2 linked regions of the Canis lupus familiaris genome follow. The protein of the gene in region 1 binds, or shares a complex with, the protein of each later gene. Links are inferred from orthologs where the notes say so. Each region holds a gene or a part of one and is shown on either strand. Other genes may lie near its edges.

The links.
Region 2: the proteins of NLRP5 (region 1) and OOEP are in contact, whole or in part, in a cryo-EM structure (PDB 8H93), measured with the Mus musculus proteins. The link is inferred for Canis lupus familiaris from reciprocal best matches to the Homo sapiens genes NLRP5 and OOEP. Residues at the interface, in NP_035990.1 of Mus musculus: Glu173, Leu176, Leu195, His196, Gly202, Leu206, Asn322, Leu325, Glu326, Tyr337, Ile338, Leu339, Val340, Glu341, Gly342, Leu343, Ser344, Ala345, Ser346, His373, Asn625, Gln626, Asp652, Ser655, Glu661, Leu662, Cys663, Pro664; in NP_080756.1 of Mus musculus: Ser26, Leu27, Arg28, Leu29, Arg30, Thr31, Arg32, Ile38, Val41, Asn43, Tyr48, Met49, Leu75, Leu86, Glu88, Pro95, Thr99, Lys102.

The regions. Positions count from the first base shown.
Region 1 is NC_049222.1:102,609,018-102,613,062, forward strand, and holds the start of NLRP5 (NACHT, LRR and PYD domains-containing protein 5), read right to left. Parts: upstream 2,866-4,045; coding exon 2,755-2,865; intron 1,675-2,754; coding exon 1,630-1,674; intron 1-1,629. UniProt on the Homo sapiens protein: Component of the subcortical maternal complex (SCMC), a multiprotein complex that plays a key role in early embryonic development.
Region 2 is NC_049233.1:35,686,908-35,690,090, forward strand, and holds OOEP (oocyte-expressed protein), read right to left. Parts: upstream 1,859-3,183; 5' UTR 1,805-1,858; coding exon 1,615-1,804; intron 1,249-1,614; coding exon 1,069-1,248; intron 703-1,068; coding exon 623-702; 3' UTR 564-622; downstream 1-563. UniProt on the Homo sapiens protein: Component of the subcortical maternal complex (SCMC), a multiprotein complex that plays a key role in early embryonic development.

The DNA of each region.
Region 1 (4,045 bases):
CATAGGCAGAAGGAGAAGCAGGCTCCATGCACCGGGAGCCCGACGTGGGATTCGATCCCGGGTCTCCAGGATCGCGCCCTGGGCCAAAGGCAGGCGCCAAACCGCTGCGCCACCCAGGGATCCCAAAAAAAAGAATTTTAGAAGCTAGTAGAAATGTATTTTAACAACACAGTTCTTACCATAACCCATCTATGAAGGGCCAAAAAAGAAAAAAAAAAAAAAAAAAAAGACTAGGGAGAGAGTGAGCCAGGTAAACATTACTGACAATGGGAGAAGTTTATGTGATTACTTTAAAGAACATCCACTTTTCTGCACATTCGTATATAATATTTATGAAGAATACTGACCATATTGGTGGAAAAAGGGAAAAATACTTATTTCTAAGAACATGCTAAAGAGGTTACATCCTGGGGTGCCTGCATGGCTCAGTCGGTTAAGTGTCTGCCTTTGATTTCAGGTCACGATCCTAGGGTCCTTGGATGGAGCCTCTCCCCCCCCGCTTCTTGGGGCTCCAGGCTCAGTGAGGAGTTGCTTCTCCCTGCCCCTCCTTCCTGCTCAGGGGTGATCTCTCAAATAGATAAATCCTTAAAAAACAGTTACATCCTAACCACAGAGAAATTGCAATTTTAAACAAAAAATTCCTAGTTTTCCCTCCCAACATAAAACAACCTGGATACATAGGGATTGAAAACCAAACAAAATAACCCCCCACCCCAAATCTCCCAACTGTTTGGTTAAATGATTAAATGAATATGGGAAGCTCAATGAAAAGAGAATGAACTTCAGATTGCCATACTTGAACACTGATACAGACACAATTTGAATTCAACATTTGCTATATGGCACAAAGCAATCACTAGAGGGATTAGATAAACAAGAGAATCAAGGTTGTAAAAAACATCCACAAAAATCACAGTGGTCTCAGGAAGATTATCTTTAGGATGAGATGACTGACAAAGTTTATATGTTCAGAGCAAAGAGTAAGTAAAACTACAAGTCGCAAACCAAAAAATTAAATGAGTACTTCCCTAAATCCGTTCTTAGATACCTCATAGCAACTCCTTTGAACTTCCCATAAGTAATGTCAACATACCAAGAGTATTATTACGTTCGCTTTACAGAGTTGAAAGCTGAGGTTCTGTAAAATTGAACAGCTGTTAGGAAAAAGCGTCCTAATGCACACCTGATCATAATGCTCCACCTCTTCCAATACACCCCAGAGAGGGAGCTGATAATCAAACCCAACTGAGTAGGGAGGAGCCCAGCTGGAAGGACTCGCCTCGGATAGGCAGATGGACACCTTCTCCTATAAACCTGAAGAGGGTTTGGGGAGAAGGTAAGGACATTATTCTCAGAGAGGCAAGATTGTAGGTTGGAAGGTTGTAAATTAAGAGTGGTGGTTAAGGTTATTTTCTGGAAATGAAAGACTAACCAAAGTGCTCGCCCTCTAGTCTCTATCTTTTATAACCTCTACCTGCAATAGCTTTCTGCACAGGGGTCTTGAATGATGCCATAGAAGCAGTCAAGATTACAGGGCTGGGGATTAGTCACATGCAGTCCTGAATAGGAATTCCTCCCTTGCTACCCCAGGCAAAGCCATTTAATTAATCTGTGACTCAGTTTCCTCACTTGACAAAGATCATAAGGACCGTATAGCATTTCAATAACCATAACCTATAACACAGAATTAGCACGATGAACACAGCAATACCCCTGAACTTCCCCAAGTCCAGACATCAGCCAGACTTTTTTTTTTAATTTTTTAAAAAATTTATTTATGATAGTCACACAGAGAGAGGGAGAGGCACACAGGCAGAGGGAGAAGCAGGCTCCATGCACCGGGAGCCCGACGTGGGATTCGATCCCGGGTCTCCAGGATCACGCCCTGGGTCAAAGGCAGGCGCCAAACCACTGCGCCACCCAGGGATCCCTCAGCCAGACTTTTTAAAAAGATTTTGTTTATTCATGAGAGACACACACACAGAGAGGCAGAGACACAGACAGAGTGAGAAGCAGGCTACCCGCAGGGAGCCTGATGTGGGACTTGATCCCTGAACCTAGGATCACGCCTTGAGCTGAAGGCAGTTGCTCAATTGCTGAGCCACCCAGGTGTCCCCCCAGACATCAGCCAGTCTTGAACTTGAAACCATAGCATTCTTGACTCTGTTCTTTATTTTAGACCTAGAGACTGGAAAGGATTGAGGAACGTACCATAAGCAAATGTGAAAAACACTTTATTCAAATGGGTGCAATGGGACACATCATTCTTTCAAAAAGGGTCTTTGGTCCTTGGGCTCTGGCTAGTCAAAATGGTGAGTGTGGGGGAACAGAGCAAAGCTCAAATAATAGATCCTAATCAGTCACAGGGAAAGGAGAGAGGAAGGCACTAGAAACAAGATGGGATAAAATACTCACCAACTCACCGAGTTGCCTCCCAAACCAGAGCCTGCTCCCTGGCTCACGGGCAACCACAAGCTAGTGATGGTCTTTTGGGAATCCTGGGCCAGTGACGTTGTTGCTTCCCATTGGCTGCCCTGGGCTTGGAATGGCCAGGCCCAGCGTACAATGTGGAACAGCTGCTTTCTGTGCCTATCTTTATGCTACTGGTGAAGATGCTGCCTCCCCGTAGCACACCTGCGCCCAGCCTTCAGCAGGCTGTCCCACAATGATAATTGTGCGTGTGTCCTTATTTTACACAGTCTGCATTTACTGACCACAGTCTGATGCCACACTGCCATTTTTTGTTTAATCTACTTTCTCCATAGAACTTTTATCTGGATTCCCTGTGAACTCATAGTAAGCATTCCTGTCTGTTGTCAGAATAACGTTTTCTGAAACAATGTTCTTGCCTTCAAAAGTGTCCATCTTGGGTGACAGAAATATGAGCCACTTTGTGCCATGAGTCTCCACATTAATGGTGGTCTCCTAGAGTTTTTCCTCTCCCCCGCAGCTTTATTGAGATATGATTGACAACACTGTAAGTTTAAGCTAGAGAACATATTGAGACATTGATTCATTGCAAAGTGATTCCCAGCTATGCTAACAGATAGCTCCTACTTCAGCTGTTCCCAAACTTCACCCCAGGTTAGAATCCCAGGGGGAATTTTTAAAACCCGTTGCCTAAGCCACACACTATTCCAATTGAGTCTGGAGGTGTGAAGCCCCCATTCCCCAGCTAAGACACTGTACCGTACCACAAAGCCTGGGGACACTGTCATACCTTCAAGCCCGGCTCTTCCCAAGGTACATTCCCCTATTGCTTTAGCAAAGGAGTGTCTCCAGGGCCTTATGGGGTACGTGTCAGTGAGTGGATTCTCTGGCTTTCTATTGCCCATCTCTGAGCCTCATTCACTGTAGACTGTAGTGGTGGTAGCTCACCATTGGCTCCAGCTGTTTGACATTGATGGACCTTTATTTTTCTCTACTCCTGACATAGGGGTGGGTGAGGGGTTGAGGATCCCAACTGCTCTGACTTTTGTAATGAAACCCTTTTGGAGAGCAGATAAACCAACACAGGTGATACCTGATCATTATACAGCATAGAAAAAGATGATTTTTCAAAAGAAAAACGATTATATGACTGCTTCTAGATCTTTGAGTTCCAAATGCTGTTCTAACTACTTCAATCATGAATGGCATAGTTTAGACCTGAAAGAGTTTAGTCTGTGATGTACAATCCCTCCCCATGAGGTTGGAGGGGAGATCACTTGCATGTTCCTATAGCTTCTTGACATCCCGTGGACCAATCTCCATAGCAAGGCTCTAGTTCAGCCTCCTGTGTGTCCAAGAAACCTCTCCTTGAACTTATTCTATTGCATTAATGCACTAAACTCATTAAAAAAAAGCTAGGAGTCATATTTAATTTTTAAAGAGAGTTCTTTAAATATGAAATGAGGGGTACCTGGATGGCTCAGTTGGTTGAATGGCCAAATCTTGGTTTTGGCTAAGACCGTGATCTTGGGGTGATGAAACTGAGCCCCGTCAGGCTTTGCACTCAGCACAGAGCTTGCTTCAGATTCTTTCCCTCAAGTGCACTCTCTCTCCC
Region 2 (3,183 bases), on another chromosome or scaffold:
AAAGAAAGAAGGAAATGCAAGTTCAGGGGCCTGTGCTTGAGGGCCTGACTCTGGCCATAAAATCATATATGGGTTAAAAAAAAAAAAAAAAAAAAAAAATCATATATGGGTTACCAGATTCAAAATGGTAGAAGCACGGATGCCTGGGTGGCTCAGTGGTTGAGCGTCTGCCTTTGGCTCAGGCAGTGAGCCCGGGGTCCTGGGATCCAGTCCCACACTGGGCTCTGTGCAGGGGGCCTGCTTCTCCCTCTGCCTATATGTATCTCTGTGTGTCTCTCATGAATAAATAAATAAAATCTTTTTTATAAAAATGGTAGAAGAGAAGACAAAAATAAAACCACTACCTATCAGCCTTTTACCCACCCCTCACATCAAGACATGAAGGAACAGAATCAATCTTTTGCTTAATTTTAAGTGAGTAAAGATCTTTATGCCCTTGGACAAAAAGGAAATTCACTTCTTTACTAGAATGACACTACAAACAGACTTTTGCACCAAAATAATCAAAGCATTACCCATCAAGACACAGGAAAAAAAAAAAGAATGCAGAGACTTATGGATACTTGCTTCTCTTGAACTTTAGTAGAAGTAGGGCTGCTTCTCACAATGCTCCTGAAAATACTTATGCAACAGGATGCTCAGGAGTTTGGGGACCTGTCCCACCAGTCTTCAAGAACTCCTCAAGTTGTTTCATCTTCTCAGCTGGATAAGGAAAAATGCTTTCTGTTCCAAACTACTCCATCACTGAGGGGAGTAGGGGAGGAGGGAAGATGCTAGCAGCATCACTTCTCAGGTGGGGGCTCTGAACAATCTGGAAATAGTGGTGAAACCAAGCTGAGGGGGCATGGGCAGTGACGACAGGCCTGAATGTATTCAATTTCCGTTTACTTTCCCAAGGTCCTACTTGGACTCCTCTCTACAAAGGGATGCCCAGGGGTTGCATATAGAACACTGCAGTTAGGAAACTGCAAAAAGTTTTGTTAAGTAATAAAGGTTGGAAGAAAGCCTGGTACCGCCAGGTGGTTCACCGGGGGCTCCCTCCACATGCAGGCTTTTAGAGACCCTCACCTCTGGCACGATGTTTCCGGTGCCAAGATGCCAGGCTCAGGAGCACGCTCTTCACCCGATTTTGTACACGGGGCCATCCGAAGATACTGATTTCAACTAAGTCTCCAGAGTTAACTACGTCCACCGTCAGCAGGACTTGGCTCATCCACTCTATTTCTGGAATTATGGCTCGGTCTGGGCCTAAACAGGAAAAGAGAGACTCTGAAGGGAAACATGGTCGGGGGGCAGCCCGGGTGGCTCAGCGGTTTGGCGCCTGCCTTTGGCCCAGGGCGTGATCCTCGATCCGGGGATCGAGTCCCACGTCGGGCTCCCTGCATGGAGCCTGCTTCTCCCTCTGCCTCTGTGTGTGTGTGTGTGTGTGTGTGTGTGTGTGTGTGTCTCATGAATAAATAAATAAAATCCTTAAAAAAAAGAAACATGGTCGAAGGTGAGTAGGAGCTAGGTTTGAAGGGAATGTTGGCCGGGGAAGGAAGGTCGGCATCGTGGAGTCTAACGTGGCCTGCAAATCCGGCAGAGACCGTAGAGTTGCTCCGCGGGGTCTCTCACCGAAGATGGCGTCAGCCAGCCACGCCTCCAGGTAAAACACCAGTGGGTCTCTCAGCTCCTGCACTGGAAACCACCAAGGCCGGGTGCGAATCCGCGGTGGTGGAAGTGGTGCCCGGAGCAGCCTGTCCAGGGACCAGGCGGGCCTCCATTCGTCCCCCAAAACTTCAGCAGCACCCGCGTCGTCGACCATGCTAGGTCCGGCAGCCCGGGAAGAGAAGGGTCCAGACAGCGCCGCCGGAACACCAGGGAGGCACGAAAGCTGTGCCCCCTTTTACGGTTTCCGGCCAGCCCCGCCTCTTCCTGTGGCCCCGCGGGCGGTTCCGGGTGAACGGAACCCCGTTCGCTTCCGCGGCAGTGGCGGGCGGGGCGCCGGGGAGCCAGCCCCCACCCCCGCCCCGGGGCTTCCTCCTGGTTCTGGAACCTGCGTGCGTGTGAGCTTGCTTGAGCCGTCCCTCAGAGGCTACCTGGGGTCGTCTCCAGGTAGGTGAGTGAGACATCACCTGGCCTCAAAGAGCCCTGCCCAGCGCAGAGCTGATTGACAGCGCGGCTTGACTCGGAGGCCTCGTGACCCGGAATCACTTTTCGTGCCTACCTTACGGCTTCTGCTTCACCTTCCAGAGGTGGGTGGGCAGGTGGATCAGGCGGAGGGCAGGCTCGTCGGGTCTACATTTTCTCCCTTCTCCTCCCTGTTGTCTCCCAACAATGTGTTTGGTTACTACTTCAAAATCATTCAAGCAAACGTGTCGTGTTTTGAAATAGAAATGTCAGAGGTGGAACATGTAGGAACTATAGACCGATTCCGTTGTCTTCAACATCCTAAATCAGCTAGTGTTGATGTACATTTCTGCCCAGTATTTTTAATTTTATTTATTTTTTAAAATATTTTATTTGGGATCCCTGGGTGGCGCAGCGGTTTGGCGCCTGCCTTTGGCCCAGGGCGCGATCCTGGAGACCCGGGATCGAATCCCACATCGGGCTCCCGGTGCATGGAGCCTGCTTCTCTCTGCCTATGTCTCTGCCTCTCTCTCTCTCTCTCTCTCCGTGACTATCATAAATAAATAAAATAAAAAAAAATTAAAAAAAATATTTTATTTATTTGAGATAGAGAGCAAGTGAGAGAGAGAGAGACCATGAGCAGGGGGGAGGAGAAGAGAAAGGGAGAAGCCGACTCCCCACTGAGCAGGGAGCCTGCTGGGGGCTCCATCCCACGACCCTGGAACCGTGACCTGAGCTGAAGACAGACGCTTAACCAACTGAGCCACCCAGGGGCCCCTCAGTGTTCTTAATTTTAGTCAAAAATTTAAATTATGACAGATTTCACACATTCAAAAAGTTATATAACAAATACGTATGTAACAATCCCCACCACCATCCCCATTTGACAAGAAGCTAACATTTTCCCACCTTTGCCTCACCTCTCTCTTCTTTAAAATATACACCACATAAAGCATTTTTCCTTTCCCTCCCGACAAGAAAACATTGTCCAGAAGCTGTTGTGCATAATCCCATGCATGTTCTTAGACTTTTTATAGTGCATATCTAGAAATCTTTTTATGTTAAGATTTTATT